3 linked regions of the Mytilus edulis genome follow. The protein of the gene in region 2 interacts with the protein of the main gene of each other region in a pairwise test. Links are inferred from orthologs where the notes say so. Each region holds a gene or a part of one and is shown on either strand. Other genes may lie near its edges. The genes, in order: coatomer subunit beta-like, coatomer subunit beta'-like and coatomer subunit alpha-like.

Evidence for each region.
Region 1: the proteins of coatomer subunit beta'-like (region 2) and coatomer subunit beta-like interact in a two-hybrid assay, tested with the Homo sapiens proteins (2 studies listed by BioGRID, with this or other methods). The link is inferred for Mytilus edulis from reciprocal best matches to the Homo sapiens genes COPB2 and COPB1.
Region 3: the proteins of coatomer subunit beta'-like (region 2) and coatomer subunit alpha-like interact in a two-hybrid assay, tested with the Homo sapiens proteins (2 studies listed by BioGRID, with this or other methods). The link is inferred for Mytilus edulis from reciprocal best matches to the Homo sapiens genes COPB2 and COPA.

What each region holds. Positions count from the first base shown.
Region 1 is NC_092353.1:31,908,738-31,916,530, forward strand, and holds the start of coatomer subunit beta-like, read left to right. Parts: upstream 1-4,784; 5' UTR 4,785-4,878; coding exon 4,879-4,884; intron 4,885-5,982; exon of another isoform or gene 5,983-6,031; coding exon 6,032-6,134; intron 6,135-6,740; coding exon 6,741-6,970; intron 6,971-7,361; coding exon 7,362-7,531; intron 7,532-7,793. Other genes in the region: uncharacterized protein, read right to left, coding at 418-572. UniProt on the Homo sapiens protein: The coatomer is a cytosolic protein complex that binds to dilysine motifs and reversibly associates with Golgi non-clathrin-coated vesicles, which further mediate biosynthetic protein transport from the ER, via the Golgi up to the trans Golgi network.
Region 2 is NC_092356.1:64,947,745-64,955,571, forward strand, and holds the start of coatomer subunit beta'-like, read left to right. Parts: upstream 1-4,732; 5' UTR 4,733-4,818; coding exon of another isoform or gene 4,819-4,821; intron 4,822-7,431; coding exon of another isoform or gene 7,432-7,531; coding exon 7,532-7,741; intron 7,742-7,827. Other genes in the region: transmembrane protein 107-like, read right to left, coding at 4,357-4,440. UniProt on the Homo sapiens protein: The coatomer is a cytosolic protein complex that binds to dilysine motifs and reversibly associates with Golgi non-clathrin-coated vesicles, which further mediate biosynthetic protein transport from the ER, via the Golgi up to the trans Golgi network.
Region 3 is NC_092345.1:20,017,103-20,025,181, reverse strand, and holds the start of coatomer subunit alpha-like, read left to right. Parts: upstream 1-5,052; 5' UTR 5,053-5,176; coding exon 5,177-5,216; intron 5,217-6,280; coding exon 6,281-6,394; intron 6,395-8,079. UniProt on the Homo sapiens protein: The coatomer is a cytosolic protein complex that binds to dilysine motifs and reversibly associates with Golgi non-clathrin-coated vesicles, which further mediate biosynthetic protein transport from the ER, via the Golgi up to the trans Golgi network.

The sequences.
Region 1 (7,793 bases), on a different chromosome or scaffold from region 2:
AAATTTGGCTTTCTTTTACTATTTCTTACCTTTTGAACATTTAACTCAAAGCTTTTGTAAATGCCTTAAATGGTTAAATTTGCTGAATGTTTGTTTTTTCATTCAATATAATCTAGGGTATAAGGTGAGAGTTGAAATCTGACAGGATCCTCTAGCCTACATGTATGTTAGTTATTAGCTTTTTTTTCAAATTTTGGTTCATTTGTAGTTTTGGTGTTTAATGTGGGATCCAGTCTGCTGAACTTAGCTAGTATACATGATTGTTTTGGTAGAGGAATTTGTTGCTGCATTGATTAGGACCATTGTTGTCCTTGAACTGTTTCGTACTCTTTAATCCGTTTGCAATAATTCTTTTTGACATATTCCGGGTTTAATTTTTTTCTCTATATTAATATACTTTATTTCATTCAATATTACCATGTCACAAAGGTACTTAGAGATGCTCTTCTATGAGCCTCTAGTACTGTCTGGAGGTCTTCCTCACTCTCAACCCATCCTTTCATCCAAGTCTTCTGGTCATCTACCTCAGGATCTTGGAGGCATCTTGGAACCCAGGCTGTATTGTCATCCATTATACCTAATCAATAAGAGCCAACATAGTAACGTATATAAGAGTTGTACATTTATCTTAAAATCTTAAATATTGTTGTACTAGCACATGATTTTTAAAGGCACAGCTTGCTATAGTTAGGTAGTCAGTATAAAAGTTGGGAAAAGAATAGTTAGCTAACAATTTATATCAAAAACCAAGAATCTTCAATTTGCTTACTTAAGCTTGTTTCAATTTTAAAAAGAGGCCTGCCAGATAATAAATCCATTTTTTCCACCAAATTTTTTTTTACAAGCCAATTTTACAAATGCGTCATTTAGGAATAGACTGTATCATACATGTGTATGTAAATTTCCATTGTAATTCTACCACAAAATAAGTTTCACAAAATTTATGATTTATAAGATTTACGATTTTTAATAAGAAGAAACTTAAAATTTGACAAAGATGTAATAAGCACACCTACATATTGTGCACCCCAAACATGCAAAATCTCATTAGCAAATCCTACCTGTATAGTTGAGCCATAATAAAAAAAGGCAATACCAAATGTAAAATTGTTTTGAGCTATGAAGTCCTTAGCATATATATAATTGAGAGAACCAATGATATAGCCTTCCCCAATCAAAATACAAAATTATACTTTTTTTAATATACTATATAAACCAAATAAAAGACCCTCGTATGTTGATCAATATAAATCCAAATCTGATAGATCAACATTATGTAAATTAAGGTTTAGTGCTCATACTTTATCTATTGAAAGCGGGCGATATCTAAAAATACCAAAGCAGAGTAGAGTATATGTCTTTCCTGCAACAGTGGAGACATTGGAGATGAACTACACTTCCTTTTAAAATGTTCATTCTATAACTAACAACGTGAGAGATAATAAATTAACCTCATTAAAAAAAAAGTCTATTGAACAACATATTACCTTCTTTATCATATAACTTGTTAAAATGAATGCTAGTTGGTGACAAACTCATTATTAAAAGGTACTTGATTTCTGTAATGATTTATATGCTTCTCTTTTATATAATTTTCCCATAATTATCCACTGTCACTTCTTCGTTGTATATATGTTATTGTAGTGGTATCCAGTCGTTCCGTCCCCAAACCCATTCAGCCTCAGGTAAATTCGGCCCCAAGTCAATCCACCCCCAAGTCAATCCGGCCCACGTCGACCCGGCTCAAGTCGATCCGGCCCAATAATAATTTATAAGGAATAAACTATAAAGACTTTTAATTAGTATAAATCGAATTTGTAAAAAGTATCAATAATGGATGACAACAGGTAAGTTTGAATATATTTGGAGTACCAGAAAGATGAAATATTTTAAGTCGATACGAAAATGGTTGTGATTGTATTTTTTTTTCAGGTAACATCAGAGGCTTCTATAACACTTGTCTAAGAACTTCACACAAAAAAAAATTTGTATGTATCAGCTTGGGGATCGGCTTGTACCGTTGTGTATGTAACTATTTGTTATTACACAGGATGAAAGACTTGTTAAATTAAGATCACATCAATTGAAAGAAATTGATAATTTAAAACTGCTGATTAATGTTGATGTCTGTTGATTGTCCTAAATTTTGTTATATTTTTTTTTAATATAATTATACCCAATAATCTAAAAAACTTGTAGTGAAACATTTTTTTTTAACATACACCTTTTACATTATAATAAATTCATTAACTTTACGAGTTACAATTAATATCTTTATTTTTATTCCTTATAAATATATTTTTTATTGGGCCTGACGTTGGGCCATATCGATGTGGGGACTGATCGACTTGAAAGCATTGTAGTTTGTCTTTAATTTGTTGTCATAACCATTTATTGTCAATGCCTAAGTCATTGTAAACTTGTACTAAAAAAGTTATCTTATCTTATCTTATAATGATTTTCAAAAATATACTTTCTTTTACATTCTTCACTCAAGTTTTTCAATTACACATGACTAAACACTCTGCCCTTTTCATATGATAATAATTTTCCCGTTTTAGTGTAAACTAGTACGGTACAGTAGTCTCAGATGATCATGATAGATCTAAATTTAATTTGTAAAGGTTTGTTTTTTCTGTTATGAATATCAAAAGTAAGGTGTATTATTATCATCTTTTTTGTGTAGGTTTGGGGTAAGTGTTAATTACCTGTATTAGCTTGTATCTATGATATAAATATGTCTCTGTCTCCTAATTTTGACATGCTGTCTGAACTTCGTCTGTCTATTAACAATTATATACCTCCTTATTGAAGAGTTTAGTAAATATCGCCCGTTTTTGTCAGTTACATTCTTTTCGGTAATCTACTGAATTTTATCTCTGACGTATGACATGAGATCCCAAGTATCTAACGGAGGCCGAACGTAACTTCCGGCCACGTTAAGCACTTCCTGTCGGCGACCAGAATTTCATTTGCTGGAAGATTCAAAGGTTTGTTAAACACCTACTATTAACAAGTATCAAATAATATATCTTTACGTTGAATTTGTAATTTAGAACTTCCACGTATACTGGACACAAAAGTGAAGGAACATTTTGATCACATTCTCAATATGTTTTCTTTCCAACATTTGTTATCTGTTTAGTGGAAGTTGTCACAATGCTCACATTAATCTGTACCGATACAGGCTCCAAATGTCCTCCTTTATACGCCATAACTATGGTGGTGCTCCTATTTAAAGGAGGCTCATACGGAGACAAGAAGACAAGTTATCTTGATAGGATTCAAAAACTTCAGCTTTATTGGTTTATGTTGATATCCATTAATTGCTGATTAATTCTAACATAAACCTACAATTACAGTTTTGAATTTGGTACAATATCCTGCTTATAATTTGTTCGTTATGTCCTTTCAATCAGAAACACTAATAGTATTATAGTCCAACATAATAAATTTACCAGTGAAAGGGGAAGAATTCTGTGTACATTATTTTTTAATAGTCAAATACTTATAATTTAAAATCTGTTAAAAAAAGAAACTAAAATACTGAAACGTTTCCGATGTTGGTCCTGTTGTTAGGGATTTTAAAAATTGTGACATCATTTTTAATGAAAACAAAGAAACGCTATCCTGATGATGTTACGTTTTTTCGTATCTAAGACAAAGAATGATCAAAAACAACAATTTTACAGAACAAGTCTCATGACATACAAGACCAGAAGAAAGAAAGAGATGTCTGTGCAAATGGGAAAAAATAAGTCTGAAAAATAAAAAGTTAATGATTTTGAGTTCATTACTTAGCTGACATGGAAGAATGAAAACCTTTGATTAATTTTTCTTTTTAATTGATTTTTCTACCGTCATCAGGCCCTCAATACTTAGTTTAGTTCTTGTTTTAGTAGTTAAAGCTGGGAGCAGGTATCAGTTGTGTTATTGACTATTTATCAATAGATTTTCCTTTACATTGAATTGATCCCATGCTAGAAGCCAGAGAAAACTTACACATGTGATCGCTAGGAAGTCATATTTAATAATAAATGAGAGGCGTAGATATCATACAAGGAACAATGAGGAAAGAACCTATCAATAATCATACATGTACAAATGATGTACATGACACATTGAGTAAGGTCTACTAAGGGAGGTAATACAAGTCAATACATGTAACAATAAATCAATAAAATAATCTGTTGCATGTATTGAATTAATGATATTTATTTCAATTGACAATAGGCTGTTCGCCAATTCCCGTAATTGACCCTGTTATAAGAGACCTTTATTTTTTTGGTCTCCCTTTATGAGGGACATTAATTTTTATTTACAATGGAGAGCTCACAGTAAGAGCAAATTTACCTGTGCGTAATGTGAGTAATCTGTAAGGTTTTTAAATCTTTTAATTACATTAATTTGTTGTTTAGCTAAATACTTTTGACATCAGCAATTATTTTTCATGAAAATTTAGTTTAACCGCCGATACATCCCTTCCAATTCATCATGCTTTGCATTGGCAAAAGCCAATTTTGTCTGGTATGGAACCAGTCTACGATTGACAAAGGGAAGTCATGGAAGTAGTTTGTTTAAAAAGTGTGTAATAATAGAATCAAATTGGTAATTGGCAAATGGACTATTATGCTGCTACAATTAAAAAGTTGAAATTTTGTTATGGGGCAGAAGAAAAACCATGCAGGACATCCAGTTGCATTTATATTAAATATAAATGTTTTGCACTCTTAGTCTTACACATTGTAAAACTAATAGATTGTGTCAATGTACTCATGAGTCATGTTAAATGCATATTAATCACTTTATCACTGTTTATATTGTATTTACACAATTTTATATTTGAAAAAACTTATTATAAGATACAAACATATCAGGATGACGGTAAGAACAAGTTATTGTGTTTGTTTTGCATGAACAGTTTGTTACTTTTCAATATCAAATAGAAACAATATCTTATCAGAAAGTTAAAGTTTTGAAGAAGTGTAAAATGTATGACAATGTAAAGTTTTACAAATGAGGATAGTACAAGGCATCTGTTCATGCAAAATTATACCTTACACACAAGGTGATTCATTAAGCACTCCTTGCTAGATTTTTTTTATTAGAGAAAAAGGGGGGGAAGGGGTAATGTACTTGTAAATTAGATGATTCATAATTATTTTTTGTCCTGATTTTTTAATGATCTACCTTTACAATGACTTCAGCTCATTAAAACAGAAGTGTTGCTCAAAATCATATTTCACCAAATACTGACTAAGTCACTATCATATCATGAATTATATATATACAAGATATATACATGAGAAAGTCACAAGAATGATAATTGAATCACCATGTGTGTCAACAGGTACTTTAATGGTTGTAGGAAATTAGATTTTTCAGTTAAACATAAACATATAATAATACATGTATATATTGGCCTAGAGTACCAGGTAAATTATGCCTCTTTAAGTTATTGTGCAATGTATTTTTTTTTTAACTTTCCCATATATCATGTATATTGCTATTGATTACTTTATTGTACAAGTAGTTATGGACATATTTTAAAGCCAGTTATATTTTGTAAAAGTACACAAGCGTTCAGTCATTATCTTCCCTAAAATAGTATTTCTAGATCATTGGTTGCAGTACTTGTTTAGTATTTTTTGTTGAACCTTCAAGCTTTGTGATGTGGTGACTGCTTACAAGCAACTAATTGCACTTTTTTTTTTTACCATTCCAAAATGGCAACAACAACAAAAAAACAGATTTAAAACATAGGATTTTGTTAATCTATAGAAATATTGTTCAATTATTATATAAAAGATTTGGTCTTCTGTCTTCATCTTTACTGGTTCCAAATTAACTTCCAATACCATAAAAAAAATCCTGAGATACTTGTTAAAACACTGATCATATAATACACACATGTAAATGGGGAAAAAATCTCTTGTATGAACTTATTCTAGAGCTGTTATCTAAAGATTTTAAATTTTATAGATACATGTACACCTACAAATGTAAAATGCCCATTTGACTTTATTTTCAGAATAAAAAGATGTCTACCTTGGCTGAGCAGCCATGTTATACTCTGATAAATATACCATCAGATGCAGAGCCTCCAACAGAGATGGGACTCAAATCAGATCTAGGTATGGCAATATATATATTGATATAAAACACCAGTGAAATGCAATGTGGATGTTTTACCTGTTCTCAATCTAGAAAGTCAATTTTTTTTATGTAATGTTTTTTGCAACCAAATATACAAGCATGGAACTTTTTTTCTGAATCTACACAATTGTTAATTCTACATACATGTACATGCTTCATATGTACATGTATACAAACAATATAAACAACAAGAAATGGTTTGCCAGCATTGTTCATTAAGGCTGAATACATGTACATGTATCTTGCAGTCTATCTTAAATGACACACAACAAACTACATGAGGACGTAAAAACTTTTAAACAAAAGATGTACATGTATTGGAGTGATTCACATTCAGCAAACTTTTGATATCATGGTTTAATTAATTTTTGATGGCTACATGTAGCTTATCATTTGCTGGTTATTATATGCTCTCCAAATCATTCATGTTTCATGTTTTAGTTTTAATTTATTGATCACAGTATATACAGTTGTATTTAAAGGCATGAAAAGAAACTGATTGAAATTAAATTGTAAAATTTCACTTTTCAAAAGTTGTAGTACATTGTACAATATATATTGAATGATATTTTTTTTTTTATTAGAAAAGGGAGATACAAAAACAAAGATTGAAGCTCTGAAGAAGACGATACAGATGATACTGAATGGAGAGAAGATGCCATCATTATTGATGACTATTATTAGATTTGTCATGCCTGTGAGAGACCATACCATCAAGAAAATGCTGTTAATTTTCTGGGAAATTGTTCCAAAATATAACCCTGATGGCAAAATGTTACACGAGTTTATTCTTGTTTGTGATGCATACAGAAAGGTATGTTTTTTTCTAGGGCTTTAACTTAAAGTGTTCTTCCTAATATAGTGTCATGGTACCAAGGAGCAATAAAGCCTTGGAGAGATCATTTGCATCTGCATTGATGGGAAATGTTAAATTGAAAATAAATTAGATATTTAGCAACAACACTATTTCTTTCTACAAAGATGCAAGTAAGATCTACATGTAAATTATAAATCACTGTACATATATTATTGTTTGTATCTTATTGAGAATTTCACTGAATAATGTATCTATTTTTTTGAGTAAGGATGGTACAATTAAACACGCATGTTTTTGGAATTATTCATTCTTCAAAATGAAACTAAAAGTATAGGTTTATACCTATGTAACGATATATCAAATATAATTCCAATTGCTTCTTTTTCAGGATCTTCAACATCCAAATGAATTTATAAGAGGATCAACATTGAGATTTTTATGTAAACTGAAGGAAGCCGAATTATTGGAACCACTGATGCCAGCAATCAGACAGTGTTTAGAACACAGGCACTCTTATGTCAGGAGAAATGCTGTTTTAGCTATTTATACTATCTATAGGTTTGTACATTCAAAATTTAAAGCGTTAAAAATTGTGTGGAAAGTTAATTAAAATAACTCTGGTCAGACTGATTTTATTTCCAATTACAAGTTGAAAGGAATTTTTTAAAGTTTAATGGTTTTGTCTTACCAATAGATTATTATTTCCCCTCAGCTACAGGCATAATGTTTTACCCTTGTCTCTGTATGTATGTCCGCCTGTCTGCATGTCCCAAAGTTCGTTTCCATTCTTTAACTTTGGTTTGTCTCAACCAAATGATAT
Region 2 (7,827 bases):
TGACCTGATGAACAATAATACCCCATGTCAGATTTGCTCTAAATGCTTTGGTTTTTGAGTTATAAGCCAAAAACTGCATTTTACCCCTATGTTCTATTTTTAGCTATGTCGGCCATCTTGGTTGGTTGGGCGGGTCACCGGACACATTTTTTTAAATAAGATACCCCAATGATGATTATGGCCAAGTTTGGTTAAATTTAGCCCAGTAGTTTCAGAGGAGAAGATTTTTCTAAAAGATTACTAAGATTTACGAAAAATGGTTAAAAATTGACTATAAAGGGCAATAACTCCTAAAGTGGTCAACTGACCATTTTGGTCATGTTGACTTATTTGTAGATCTCACTTTGCTGAACATTATTGCTGTTTACAGTTTATCTCTATCTATAATAATATTCAAGCTAATAACCAAAAACAGCAAAATTTCCTTAAAATTACCATTTCAGGGGCAGCAACCCAACAACGAAATGTCCGATTCATCCGAAAATTTCAGGGCAGATAGATCTTGACCTGATGAACAATAATACCCCCATGTCAGATTTGCTCTAAATGCTTTGGTTTTTGAGTTATAAGCCAAAAACTGCATTTTACCCCTATGTTCTATTTTTAGCCATGGGGGCCATTTTGGTTGGTTGGCTGGGTCACCGGACACAATTTTTAAACTAGATACCCCAATGATGATTGTGGCCAAGTTTGGTTAAATTTAGCTCAGTAGTTTCAGAGGAGAAGATTTTTGTAAAAGTTAATGCAGGACGACGAAGGACCACGGACGACAACGACGGACACCGGACGCCAAGTGATGAGAAAAGCTCACTTGGCCTTTCGGCCAGGTGAGCTTAAAACAGGTAAATTTTTCGCTAAAATGGGCTATCGAAAATACAGGTGACCGGATTTATCCAGTGCTTAAATGGGCTCTAATGTAGCCGCTCGAATGTCCCCTAGTAGTTTTAATTTTTTCCCTCAAATGTCCTGCGCCCGACCAGCCATCCTATCAATACAGATGTTGTTTCTGATAATTTTAGCAACATACATATGTATTTAGTCCCTTGATCATTAGTATTGTATATTTAAAGCTACAATAAAATTAAATCACTTAGTCTAGTGATAATTTGTACTACTATCTTAAGGGTGACTAAAAGAAAGAAAACTCTTACTTCCAACATTTGTAGATTGGACATAATGTTAATTGATTCAGTGATTTAGAAAATCACTCATTTAAGTTAGTCCTGACTGATTGACATTATACACCTCATAACTATTTATCAGCCTTAACTGGACATCACAAAAGTTCCTATAAAATTTTGACGTCATAATAGAAAATATCTGAAGCCACAATGGAAAAGTGATTGTGGTATGACATCAAAAGTTCAAGCGAGACAGATTCTCCGGTCATGATATGAAAATTAATGTAACCTTATTTTGTGTAACAGTATCAATATTACCAGCTACATGTATACATCCTTGTCAGACTTTGAAGGACTTGGACATGCTTTGCAGTTATTGCATGATTTGACTGGTTTGGCCTACATAAAGATAAACTGATATGGGATCCGGAAATCTAAGTCACAATTTAACTTCTTTTTTTTCCATTAAAAGTTTGATTTCATTTTTTTACACCAGGAATCACAGCAGAAATGAATGTCTCACTATCCTTATAAAACAATAAAATCGAAATTTGAAAAACAAGAATGTGTCCCAAGTACACGGATGCCCCACTCGCATTATCATTTTCCATGTTCAATGGACCGTGAAATTGGGTAAAAAATCAAATTTGGCCTTAAAAGTAAAAAGATCAACCAAAAGGGAACATGTGTACTAAGTTTCAAGTTGATTGGACTTTAACTTCATTGAAAACTACCTTCACCAAAAACTTTAACCTGAAACTCACACTTTTAATTTCTATGTTCATGATCAGTGGACCATGAAAATGGGGTCAAAAGATTAATTTTGTTTTAAAATAAGAAAGATCATATAATAAGGAACATGTGTACTAAGTTTCAAGTTGATTGGACTTTAGCTTCTTCAAAAACTACCTTGACCAAAAACTTTAACCTGAAATGGGACGGACGGACGAACAGACAAACGGACAGACGGACGGACGGAAGGACGCAGAGACCAGAAAACATAATGCGGCTTATGCCCCTCTATTATCGTAGGTGGGGCATGAAAACAATTCTTATAAATCATGTAAATTGGAACTAAGGATTTGTACAAATACTCATTAGAGTGATTAAAATGACTGTAAGGAGGTTGTAAAAAAAAATGAAGAATAGATGACATTGACTTTCAATATTAAATTTATTTTGTCGAAAATACGTTCAAATAAAGAAACTACATTGTACATACATGACATACAATGACATAGAAACTTCAAAAAGTTTGTTACTGTTTGAGGAATATTGAAATTCAAATTTGAACTGTCTGGAAGAAAACAATTTTCATGAAATGACTAAACGTACTACATTGTGGTTGTTCAAATGCTGACTGACTGATTTTTCTGGGGAAAACAATTATTATAAGAAGGTTAATTATCATAATTATATTTGTGGTTAAATATGATCCATTAGTGACCAATCGGATGGTGATAAGCGGATAAGCTGTTACAAATCACAACTTGTAACACCTGTTGTACAAATGTAAATGTTAATTACCGGCTCAGGGCCAGAAACTTGAACACAATTATATTTTTTATACAAAAATATTATTAGACCTTCAAACATGTCATGATTTAAGAGACGAAATTGATTTGAAATCCTTTCAACATTTTGAAAACCATTTTGTGAATGACGAAATGATGGAACACTAGCAAAATCACTGCAGGTTGGACAGATACGAATCCGGGTCCATTCGCGCCCATTCACGTTTGCACCCACTCATGATCGCCCCCTTTCACTTTCGCACACTATATGTTCGCACTGAAAGTCCGTTCGCACATTACATGTTCGCGCCCAATTTTTATTGGTTTTGTGTTTAACAACTTTGTAATCAAGTTTTGGAAAGTGTATTCCTATCAGAATATTTGTTGTCATTGTCTCATTATAAAGTGAGACAGCATTATTTTTTGTGTTGAATAAATCTCATTTGGATAGTGTATTGTTAAAAAAAATAACAATCCTTTCTAAATAATGTTGGAATCTGTCAACGTTTTATTTTGTGCTGAATAACTCTTAATCATGTTTTGGTTAGTGTATCGCTGTAACTTTGTTTCAATCATTGACTTAGGCCATAATAAATAAAAGGTTTGTTTGCCCAAACACTTCCTACCAAGAAAAAAAGCTGCCTACTCAAATTCTTTTATTGTCCTGATTTGAAGAAGTTTTTTTTTTTTATCAAATAGGCATGAAGACTAATTAACATCTGATACTTCAATTTCTTTTTTTGAAAGAAAAAAAAATGCCTACCTACCTACCCACTGTCTCAACCTTTGGGTAGGGTTTGGGCAAACCAAAATATTTTTAAGTCTGGCCTTGTTTCAAAATAAAGTGAAATTCTAACTACGTTTTCTTTTTGTGTGTTGAATAAATTTTATCATTTAAATCAGGACAATAAAAGAATTTGAGTAGGCAGCTTTTTTTCTTGGTAGGTAGTGTTTGGGCAAACAAACCTTTTATTTATTATGGCCTAAGTCAATGATTGAAACAAAGTTACAGCGATACACTAATCATGATAATAGTGTATTGCTATATTTTATTGTTTCATTGTTTCAGATCAAAGGGACCAAGCTGTTAAAAACAATTATCTTTTGTGTTTTTCATTTAAAATCTTCAATGTTTTACTCATACATTTTACTAAGCTAAATACCTATGCAGTTTAAAACAACAATCATGATTTTCTAATTATTCAACTGGAATTTGATCTAAAATTGGGCGTGAACATGTAGAGTGCGAACAGACCTTGGGTGCGAACGTGCGAGGAGCAGACGTGTAGGGTGCGAAAGTGTATTGGGCGCGAACGGACCTGATACACCTTATTGCTAATCCCGTCTGACCCCAGAATCTGTCCCACTTGAACTATTGACGTCATACAACAATCGCTTTTCCATTGTGGCGTCAGATATTTTGTATTATGACATCAAAATTTTACGTGAACCTGTATGATGTCCAGTAAATTGTAATGGCGGGCAAATAGCGATAAGGTGAATTACAAAATAGAGACAAGGTGTATACACCTTATCGCTATTCCCGGCTGACCCGTCCGCTTGAACTTTTGACGTCAACAACAATCACTTTTCCATTGTGGCGTCAGACATTTTGTTTTATGACGTCAAAATTTTACGGGAACCTGTGTGATTTCCAGCAATGGCGGACAAATAGCGATAAGGTGTATTGTAAACAGTATTATTGTGTAAAGTTTACTTACTTTTGACCAAAATAAAACTATGACTATCACAAGATGGGCGACAATTGTGAGAAATCTTGCTGGAACAAGACCACTTATTCTCATTTTGACTATATCTGAAGTATATGTATAATTTCCTTGTAATTTGTATTAAGTTGGAACCAAGAATTTACAAATTACGACAGTATACTTCGAATTCTTGCCAAGTGTTGTTTTAACTCCTTAAATATGCGTAACCATTCAGTTTTGCTTTTACAATAAAATGGTTATGTCTTTGATGACAACTTGCTATTCACGATGTACACAATGCATAAGTATAAAAATATTGGTATGTCTAAGCTTGTTTGGCGGCCATTTTCAAACAAATCATGTTTAACTTCCGAGTCCGGTCACGCTTGCGCATTCACTGTGGACACGTCTCTTCATCCAGGTTGAAACTGAACCGGCGAAACTTATTTGTTTACAAACTTATAACCCAAGAGAATGGTAACGAATAACTATTTTAGAATTTTATAACGCATGAGCTTCTCGATATGTAGTAGCTGTCAGGTTTAGGGGCGAAATATAGTAAAGATCAACGTTTAATGTGAAAAGGGGGGATATGGACCATTGTTGACACATTTTTTAACATTACATATTTTGTAGGTTACCGAAAATTATTGCAATTAGACATTAAGTGTAAAGCAGAACGACACTAATTTGATAGTCATTTATGAAATGTGGTCATAATCATAATGCATTATTGGTTGTAAGCTAATCATTTTTGTACCACTGGGGCACTGCCATACACCTTATCGCTAATCCTGGCTGACCCGGCCGCTTGAACTTTTGACGCATAGAACAATCACTTTTCCATTGTGGCGTCAGATATATTGTTTTATGACATCAAAATTTTACGGGAACCTGTGTGATATCCAGTAATGGCAGACAAATAGCGATAAGGTGTATTTCGTACCCTATGCCTATGGGCCAAAGCATCTATCAATTTGTCCCTCATGAACTAAATACATGTTAACTATTTTGTATCATTTACCAACAGTCTTGGTAAATGATAGTAATATTTAATAAATATCAAATCTGTTTGTTTTTATACACCCGTTTACTGGACGTATTATGGTATACTGTTGTCTGTCCTTCCGTCGTCAATTTGTTGGACAATAACTCAAAAACGCTTGAATGTTATTAATTTAATCATGATTGAGTAATTGTACAATAAGTGCATGTGGAGTACATACATCAATGAAATAGTACAGGCCTCTACAATAACTTTTTTTTCAACTTGTCCAGTCATGCCAGTAGGACAAGTACATACCAAAACTTACTTGTCCCAATGAAATTGTTACTTGTCCAAATTTTTTTAATAAAAAATAACCTTTTTACATTTTAAGTTGATTAAAGGAACAAAACGAATTTAAACAATAGAACAGAATTTGATGTATTTCTTTTGAAATACTTTTCAAAAATATGAGTCAAGTACAACTGAATCTAGTCATGTCACAGGACTTAGGTTCTAGTTTTCATCAATGCCAGCTGTCTCATCAGACTCTAAACATGAGGCACCATCTGATAGGCCTGTACACTCATTGGATTTGTATCCTGGTTTTTTTTTTAAGTTGAAAAAAGTTTATTCAAATGCAATCAATAAAAAGAAGAAGATAAGGTCTGATTGCCAATGAGACAACTCTCTTCAAGAGACCAAAATGACACAGAAATTAACAACTAAAGGTCACCATTTTGCAAGTATTGTTTTTTTTTTACCTATGATCAAATATGATTTTGTGAATTTTATGAAATTATGGTTAATACAAAAAATTATGGAAAATAAAAAAAAATATTTTTGTGAAAAAATTACCTGTATGGTATTTATTATAAAGAACAGAATAAGGAAAGAAAATGAGGAACTGATTTGTCTTGGTCCCGAAATGTCTCCTGCCTTGCCAAAGTGTCTATCAATCATTTCCACTAAATTTGTCTCCTACGGTGCCAAACTGTCTATTAAACTTTGAGCTAAACCTGTCGAAGTGAGAACTGTCCTGTAAAGTTACCTAGTCTACAAAACCCAGCATTGATTATTCGGATCAGTAAGGCTGGTTTCCGAGAATAGTATAATGTACCAGTGTTCTCCCCAGATATTTCATTTAGCATCCTGGTAAATAGGGGAAATTAAAATACCATCTTGTTTCTGAAATTTATAGCATCACATCCATAACATAATCTATAAGAAAACCAATTCAAATAGCATCACATTTAAGATTATAGCATCACATTACCATGATGCTAAAAGGCCCTGGGGAGAACACTGAGTACCTTTCACCTGTTAAAAGGTACCTGACAAAGGACAAGTTAAAAATTATCGATTGCAAGTAAACATGCTAAAAAAAAGGTTTTGCATTTCAATAAACAGAATACAGAAACATGTCAAACTAATTTTTGTTTTTTGTTTATTATTATACTTTGTTCATCAAAGTTGGATGAAATTTATTTTCTGCAGAATAATTGTACTTGTTCCAACGGACAAGCTTGATACAGCTTTTACTTGTCCGACCTTTTTTCCCTCTGGTATCGGACAAGCGTTATTGTCGAGGCCTATAGTATCCAAACCTTCTAAAATGATAAACAATAAAACATACAAAACTTCCATGAGGTGAAAAATGGTAAACATACAAACCTAACATGATGAGATAAGAAATGGTATACATTGTACATATAAGTTGTCCATGAGGTACGAAACCATGGATATGGGATATAAAAATCCAATCTCTGTCACCCACTTTTCCTATGTTGATAATATTAAAAACCAGAAATTTTAATAATATATTTCTAATTAACAATGGTCTTCTACATGTACATGTATGTATCTTTCTTATGTCATGTTATTAAGTTTGTGCATGCTTCTTCTTCTTGTTATGGAAAAAGTACTCTTGTATCTGGAGAACTTCTGTGATGGGTTAAAAGGAACTACCAAACAACAGTTGAAAGGATATATAGTATTAAAATAATATGAAATCTAGTATTTACAGCTCTACACTGTTCATTCTTACATATACTTACTTAAACATGATCAACATCTAATATCTAATGAATTATGTATTGCAGCCGTTACGTTTGAATATAAAGCGGGTTTTGACAGCCCGATCAGATCGTGTTAAAAGCATGGGTCTGCACCCAACTGAACCATGGATGATGGCTAGTTTGTATGATGGCAAGGTGGTCATTTGGAATTTTGAATCTCAGGTATATAACTATTGACTTTTATTATTCTTTTCAGCCGCTACGTTTGGATATAAAGCGGAAGCTGTCAGCTAGGTCTGATCGTGTCAAATCTGTGGACTTGCACCCTACAGAGCCATGGATGTTAGCCAGTTTATACAATGGAAATGTACACATTTGGAATTTTGAATCCCAGGTATCTCAAAGTTTCTCTAGGCTATAGCTAGCATGTGAGCAAGTGTACCACTATATATGCTCCAAGTAACACTGATATAATATGCT
Region 3 (8,079 bases), on a different chromosome or scaffold from region 2:
TTCTTTCGGTTAGGAATGAAGTTAGCCATTTGTGGATATTTCCTCTAATTCCATATTGGTCTATTTTGTGCAAGCGTCTATCATGAGGTACTGTGTCGAACGCTTTTGAAAAATCCAGAATCGCAATATCTACTTGGTTTCCTTTATCGTAGGATTGTAGCATATCATGGATTGTAATGGCAAGTTGGGTCTCACAGGAATATCCAGATCTAAAGCCGTGGTTTAGTGATGTTAATACATTATGCTTTTCCAGATGTTTGAGTATATGACGGCATATGATGTGCTCAAGGAGTTTACATGGTACTGATGTCAATGAGACTGGCCTGTAGTTTTCGGCCGCGTGTCGGTCTCCTTTCTTAAATATGCTAGAGATGTTTGCATTTCTCCAATCCTCTGGTAGTGTACCACTGTCTAGTGAGAGCTGGAATATGAGTGTTATTATTGGTGCCAGATGTTCGGCGCATTGTTTTAGTACTCTGTTTGGTATGTTGTCAGGACCAGATGCTTTGGATGGGTTTACTCTCTGTAGCAGCTTTTTAACTCCTTCTGATCTGATGGTAATTTGATGTATGGAGTCTTTTACCCTGATGTTTGTTTTGGGTAGTGTTTTAGTTGTTCCTTTTGTGAAGACAGACGCAAATTGCTCCAGTAGAATTTGCGCCTTCTCCTTACTGTCGTTTATGAGCTGTCCATGTTTCTTTAGTGGTGCAACCCCTATATTGTCCTGTTTCCTTGACTTAACATACTTCCAGAAGGGTTTTGTGTTGTTCTTATTCATTCCTTCAATTATAGCGTTGTTAATATAATTGTTTTCTGCTTTCCTAATTTCTCTTTTGCATGTTTTTTGGAAATGGCGGTAGTTTGTCCATGATTTTGTTCTTTTGGCCTGGTTATACAAGTTTTGTTTTTTCTTCAGCATCTTTTTGATCTTTTGTGTTATCCATGGTAGTCTGTTGTTGGACTTGACTATTTTTGATGGTATGTTTTTATCAAGGCTGGCAAATAGGTGTTTCTTGAACATCAGCCATGCTTCGTTGACATTTTGGTTGTTTTGGATGCTGTTGCTTATCTGTGATAATAGTGAATCTAGATCTTTATTCACTTCATCCCAGTTGGCTCTTGCCCAGGTGTAGACTTTCCGAGGATTAGATTTGTAGTAGGAAGGTTTGATGTCCGTATCAGTTATGATGATTGCATGGTCAGAAATACCTGGTATGCTTGTTGATGTTTTCATAAGTGACGGGTTTGATGTGAATACAAGGTCCAGTAGGTTGTTTTCCCTTGTTGGTTCTTCGTGGAATTGTGTAAGGCCAAATTGAGTTGTGATGTTTACGAGCTGTTTTTGAACTTCTGGATCTTGAGCATCTTTCCTAATGGTGAGGTTGTCCCACATTATGTCTGGGCAGTTGAAATCGCCTGCAAGTATGATGTTACTGTTTTTGTTCTCCTCTGTGATTTTTTCCAGAGATTTTTCTAGTTCTTCTAGTTGGGCTTTGTTTCTATGTGGCATGTAGAATGAGCCGATGATTAGGTCTTGGGCTGTTTTTAGTTTGAGCTTTACCCATTCAATTTCACATTTTGTTATGTATTGTGGTTGTTCGGTACTAATCATGCTGTTGTGGACTAGTATGAATACTCCTCCTCCTAAGGTACCCCTGTCATTCCTGAATGATGTGTAGTTATCAGGGAATACTTCAGCAGATTTTATAGCATCTTTAGTCGGATTCTTTCCGGGTTTTACCCCTTTTAGCCAAGATTCTGTGCCAATAATAATATCTGGCTTTGTGTATTGTACACTGAAAATCTAAATTAGTCACGATGACTATTCAGTTAGTCAAATATCAGCCGAAAGGTAGTCAAAAGCATATATGACTACCCACCAAGTCATTATGACTATCTGCATGGTCAATTGACTATGTTAGTGGTCACAGCACCACGTGGTGTAGAGTATCGGTTTTCACGCGCACTCTTTCGCGTTCCCTTTGTTCCATAGATTGTGTAGATGTAAACAAACCAGAAGGCACGGAAACTGTTATTTTGTCAAATAAACCAATTGTTTAAAGTAAGTATGATGTATATATGTTTTAATTCTAACTTACAAAAATTGAATTTAAGAAAAAGAAGTGTATAAATGAAAGTAATATCGGTACATGTTTACGTAACGACAATAAAAAAGGGGGGATATGTATACGGGATATCAATTTTGATACACATACAACGTATTGTCGATTGAAAAGAGTATTTAGCGATATCTTTTTTTTCACCTGAGCAAAAACTGTTAAAAATAAACACTGCAATCGATATTCACAACAATGAATTAAAAACTCAGGGTGGCTGTCAAGATCCTGGTGCTTACATTACAATGCTGTGATATAGGATGGGTAGCTGTGAAGATCCTGGTGCTTACATTACAATGGTGTGTTATAAGATGGGTGGCTGTCAAGATCCTGGTGCTTATATTACAATGTTGTGTTATAAGATGGGTGGCTGTCAAGATCCCGGTGCTTATATCACAACGCTGTGGTATAAGATGGGTGGCTGGCAAGATCCCGGTGCTTACATTACAATGTTGTGGTATAAGATGGGTGGCTGGCAAGATCCCGGTGCTTACATTACAATGTTGTGGTATAAGATGGGTGGCTGTCAAGATTCTGGTGCTTACATTAAAATGTTGTGGTATAAGATGGGTGGCTGTCAAGATCCTGGTGCTTACATTACAATGTTACAATGTTGTGATATATAGGATGGGTGGCTGTCGAGATCACGGTGCTTACATTAAAAATTAATGATATAAGATGTCGAGTGATTAAATCACTAGATCAAAGATTTTAAAATTAGTTTTTTTTTAACTTTTAACATGACTGATATTCTTGTTTATTGTTATATTTTAGCTTCTAAAATGATACAATTATATTTTTCAGCAAATGAAGACATTGTTATTTGTATGAACACAGCTGAGAGATTTTTTACCATAGAGAATACCACACTGACACATGCAGAGTTGATCCCGACAAAATATCTGAAATAAACACTTCAAATTAACAATGAGTTTATAATAAATTTATTTTCTTTATTTGATTTTTAGACTTTAATATATGTCACTGAGTAATAGTTACACACGGAAACTTAAGATATAGGAAGGTTTTGAACATTGAGCACTTTGTGGTCCTATACTATTGTCATTGTTAGTATTGATGCTGTGGTATTTTTAATGATATTATATTCCAGATGTATTTGTCAATCCTATGGAAGAGAAACAACAAAAAGTATAATAACAGAAGAAATGAACCATAACAGAACGAAACGGAATGAAACGCACACAAATTAAATGGTAGAACAAAAAACACAACACAAATTAAAATAACAGTCTAACAGTCGTGACTATTCACAGTAATCATGTTGACTAACCAACATGGTCACTTCCGACTATTTCAATGAGTCATATGGACTGCATTCAATTGTCAAACTGACAAATGTGCATAGTCAATTGAACAATCCAATTCGTCATAACGAGTATGACATATAGTCATTTTGACTTCCTAACATAGTCATAATGACCACCCTACTCCGTCAAATGTGACTAACCATCTAGTCAAACGACTAAGAGCATAGTCAAAATGATTAAAGTGCATTGTCATCTAGAGGACAGTCAAAATGACTAATTAAATTGGTCAAATTGACTAATTTAGATTTTCAGTGTAATGTTGTTTTGAATTCTGAGGTTTTATCTTTGATGCTTCTACAGTTTACCGTCATGATTCTGAGGTTTCTTTTATTGGTGATGTTAAAGGGTGGTGGTGTTGTGTCCTTTATGCTGTTTCTTGTACTGTTTGCAACTGACCGATTTTTGGTAATTGATTTGTCTTTTGGACTACTTGTTACAAGTGGACTAAATGATGAAGAAAAGGTGTCCATAAAGCTGAGATCTGTTGTTAGAGGTTCGTAATAGCTTATGTTTTCAATCTCGTATGCATGGTAAGTGAATGAGGATACATTTAGGCTGTCACATTTGCAGCACATCCATTGCACGTTTGATCTTTGTAGAAGTTCGTAATCTGTCGTGCACAGTTCGATGCATGAGCGGTGGTGCCATATGCTGCAACAATCGCAACATACTCCCTCTGTTGACCATGTAACGGGTCTTTCACACAAACCACATGGGAAGACGTTTGCTGTTTTTGGACCTGGATTTGATTCAATGTCACCTGATAGTAGTATGATGAGCAGTGCTGTTGTTAAGTTTTGCCTTGCATGTATTGGTAATGATATTGGCCTTCTTCCGCTATGATGTAATTTCGGGTTTAGCAAGTTGACTAGATTTTGTTTTGTTGACCCTGTATGTGCATTTATGATATGCAGGGCTAATGAGCTGGCTAGGAAAAGTAACAGTGTATACTTCATGTTGTAACTAATATAGCAAGGGAGATCCTTACTGATTGTTGTTGTTATGAGGTTTTATCAGTATGTACAATGTAGCAAGGGAAATCCTTACTGATTGTTTCTGTTGTGTTGGTCCAATGTAGCAAGGGAGATCCTTACTGATCGGTTAAGTTGCATGTAAAATGTAGCAAGGGAAATCCTTACTGATTTTGTCTTGAAGTGGCGGTCCAATGTAGCAAGGGATATCCTTACTGCCGAGTTTGGATTGTTTAAAGTTTATGTTTAATAGATATAGCAAGAGTAATCCTTACTGCTTAACATGATTTGGATGAATGAGTTGATTAGAACACTAAATATATACACTTATCAAGGAAAAAACTGCCAAAAATATACAAAACTGGTGAATAAAACCCAGCGATATGGATTCCACCTGGAACATTAAAAAAATCACATATTCTTAAAAATAGAGAGCATTTCATATTATTTTTTTTTTTTGCTTAATTACTTTATTATGGTATTTTTTATTTTGCTGTACATATATTTATTCTGCGGTGATATTTATTATTGTTGTTCGCTGGTCGCTAATAATGCGATAATAAAGTTATAAAAGATTTCCCACCAAGAGCCTCTTCAGAGCCTGAGGTGAAATGATTGCTCCCTTACCGTCAATTTACTCGGTCAGGGAACCAGTCAAAACAGTAACTTCCGGTTTTACGTGGAACTGCCATAGTGGAAATTCTGCCGGTTGTACACAAATTATAGTTATTTACGAGTAACAGAATCATCTTATGGCATTATGTTGACGAAATTTGAAACCAAATCTGCAAGAGTGAAAGGTGAATGAAAGCATTTTTTTTGTCCAAAAGGCTTTATTTTCCAGTTACAAGGTGTAGACGCTTTAAAATGTGACAAAACTTCATAAAATCATAGACACAGGCATATTTTTCTATCTTACAAATTATATATCATCGACATCCGATGATTACACATTGTCTGCATACGTGGACTATTTAGAAAATTTGACCCATTTATTAAACGAAATATGATCTTCAATCTTTTTTCTTGATGACACCTGGGGTAATCTCTCTTATAAATTATTCGCTTTTGTAAATTAAAATCACTAATGTATTTTATTTATGTGCTTTGAAAATATCAATATACACAATGAATATGTTGTCTTATCAAATATCAATACTGTTGCAGGTCATAATTTAAAGATGGTATATTTTGATATATTATAAATATTGATTCACTAATAGGGGTTTGTCTTTTCACCACCGAACATCACTGCACACCGCCTACCACCACCGAACACTCCAAAAGACCACTAAACTTTAAGGAAAACAGTAATGTTTCACAAAACAAATCAATTAAATTATGTAATATTATTCCCATTTCTCATGTTTTTTCATATTTTTATGTGCATTTTTAGTGATTTTATTATTAAAGTTGAGAATCAAATTTAAAAAAAGGCTGCCATGTTTGATGGTGTTCAGTGCTAAAAAAGACCTACCGCACTCATAGGGTCTTTGCCTCAGAAATAAACACATATTCTAAAACCAGTTGTTGGCATGATACAGGTTGTGTTCTTCTCGTAGATTTTATGATGGTTTGATACAAAACCTACATCTACATCATTGAAATGCAAAGGGTTTAAGACCCATCACGCAAGTACTAATTAAGTCATTCAATATGGTGCTCATTAAAAAAATATTTACATGTGTGAAATTTCGCCTTTTCAGAATCTAAATGACTATGGGTAATCTCATCTGTTTGTTAGTTTATGTATCATTGTCATTGTGCTAAATGTTTTTTTTGTTACCTATTCCTACAATGTACGTATTGATGTTTAAGGCTGTTGATATCACACTTAGTTGAAACTGTATGTTTGCTATTTCAGGTCTTACTTTTCATCCTAAGAGACCATGGGTGCTGACAAGTTTATTCAATGGTGTTATCCAGTTATGGGACTACAGAATGTGTACATTGATCGACAAGTTTGATGAACATGATGGTAATACATTATACCTTTTATAGTACCAGTGTTCTCCCCAGGCCGTTTTAGCACAGCACTTTTCAGCGCTATTGCAATTCCCCGCTGTCCTATTGCACTGACCGCAGCGCTATCCAACGCAACGGCGTCGCTATATTTTTTTCAAATTTCCCGCTTATTTTTCACTTCGGATCACGTGATCGACTGGTTTACGATTTTTGAATGAATTATTTCCGTTGTATTAAAGTAACTTCACAGGACCAGTCTAATAAATTTTACAAAAATGGCGTTTTTGGAAGATCAAAATAAACAAAGATTTCAGAATACAGATTTCAACATTGACATCGATTTTTTTAATTTAAAGAAAATATAGAGGCATATATGAATGAAATGTGATGAAATGAATTGACCGCATTTCCTGACGTCACTCACAAACTTGTTTTACGAACTTTGAACAAACGATCATTTTAAAAACGATCAAACACAGGGGTTTGTTACAAATTATTTGCAGGGTTTACTATCCATACGAACCCCGAAAATGACCAAGTCTTTTAAATATTAATTATCCCCTATTCGAACTTATAATTTAGTCAGAAATTCTTCCATTTGATAACAATTTGAGAGGATATGATTAGCAAAACAAACCCCAAGCTGATACGACTTGAGAAATTTTACTTTCTCGATGTCCAGCTTGGATGAGGCCATTTAAATATTATAAAACGTTTAGGTCATAAAAATGAGAAATCTTTATGCTAAAAAATGTCAATTCCTGTCAAACGTCGTAAGGTAAACAGTACACTGCTACAGTTTGTTACAAAACCAAACAGAAGCTGACAATGACTTTATTGTTGGTCCTACATGTTCTGCAACATTACCTGATGGTGCTAAGAAATCTTGGCACAGGCAGTCTGGTGTAGATCCATCATAGAAAAAGACTCTTCCTTCAGTTTTATACATAGATAGTATGAGGATTTAATATATGAATTTACAATGGAGAAAAAAAGACTCTTCAGACTTCTATATCCAGACAATAACATTAACAAACAAAGCATCATTAAGGGATACACTGTAACTTCCATGAGCATGACAAGGACATCATAACAAGAGGAAATATCAACAGCATGATATAATAAAAACACATAACAAATCAATTACAAACAAACCGAGCGCCGCGATAAAGTTACTGAGAATTGTCGAAAATTACGCGCTTACCACAGCGCTATCAAAAAATCCTGGGGAGAACACTGAGTACAATGTAGTATTACATAATTATATTTTTTCCACTAGTCTTACAACTGTACTTTCATTTTATAAAAGGTTAACCAACACCTGAAGTGGTAATCGTGCAGTTTTGTAATAGTGGGGGGATACCGAGAGGTATTCACAGTTGTCTTTCACTAGATAAGTAAAATAAAACGAAAATTAAGACAACAACACCCATCAATTACTGCATGGTAAGAGTTTATTCAGGTCAACAGATTTCACAATCAACTGTACTTTAATTTGGATGCATATCTTTAGTACTATAGAAGATTTAAAGAATAAACAGAAAAGATAAAAGTATTTATCAATTAAAAACTTAATTTCAATAAAAAAAAACTATTATTTTTAGTCATTTTCATCATATTCATTACTTCTCTTAAATAATTTAACAAATGGGAGTAACTTAAATCAATGAACTGAATCATTGACATAGCAGTTGTATA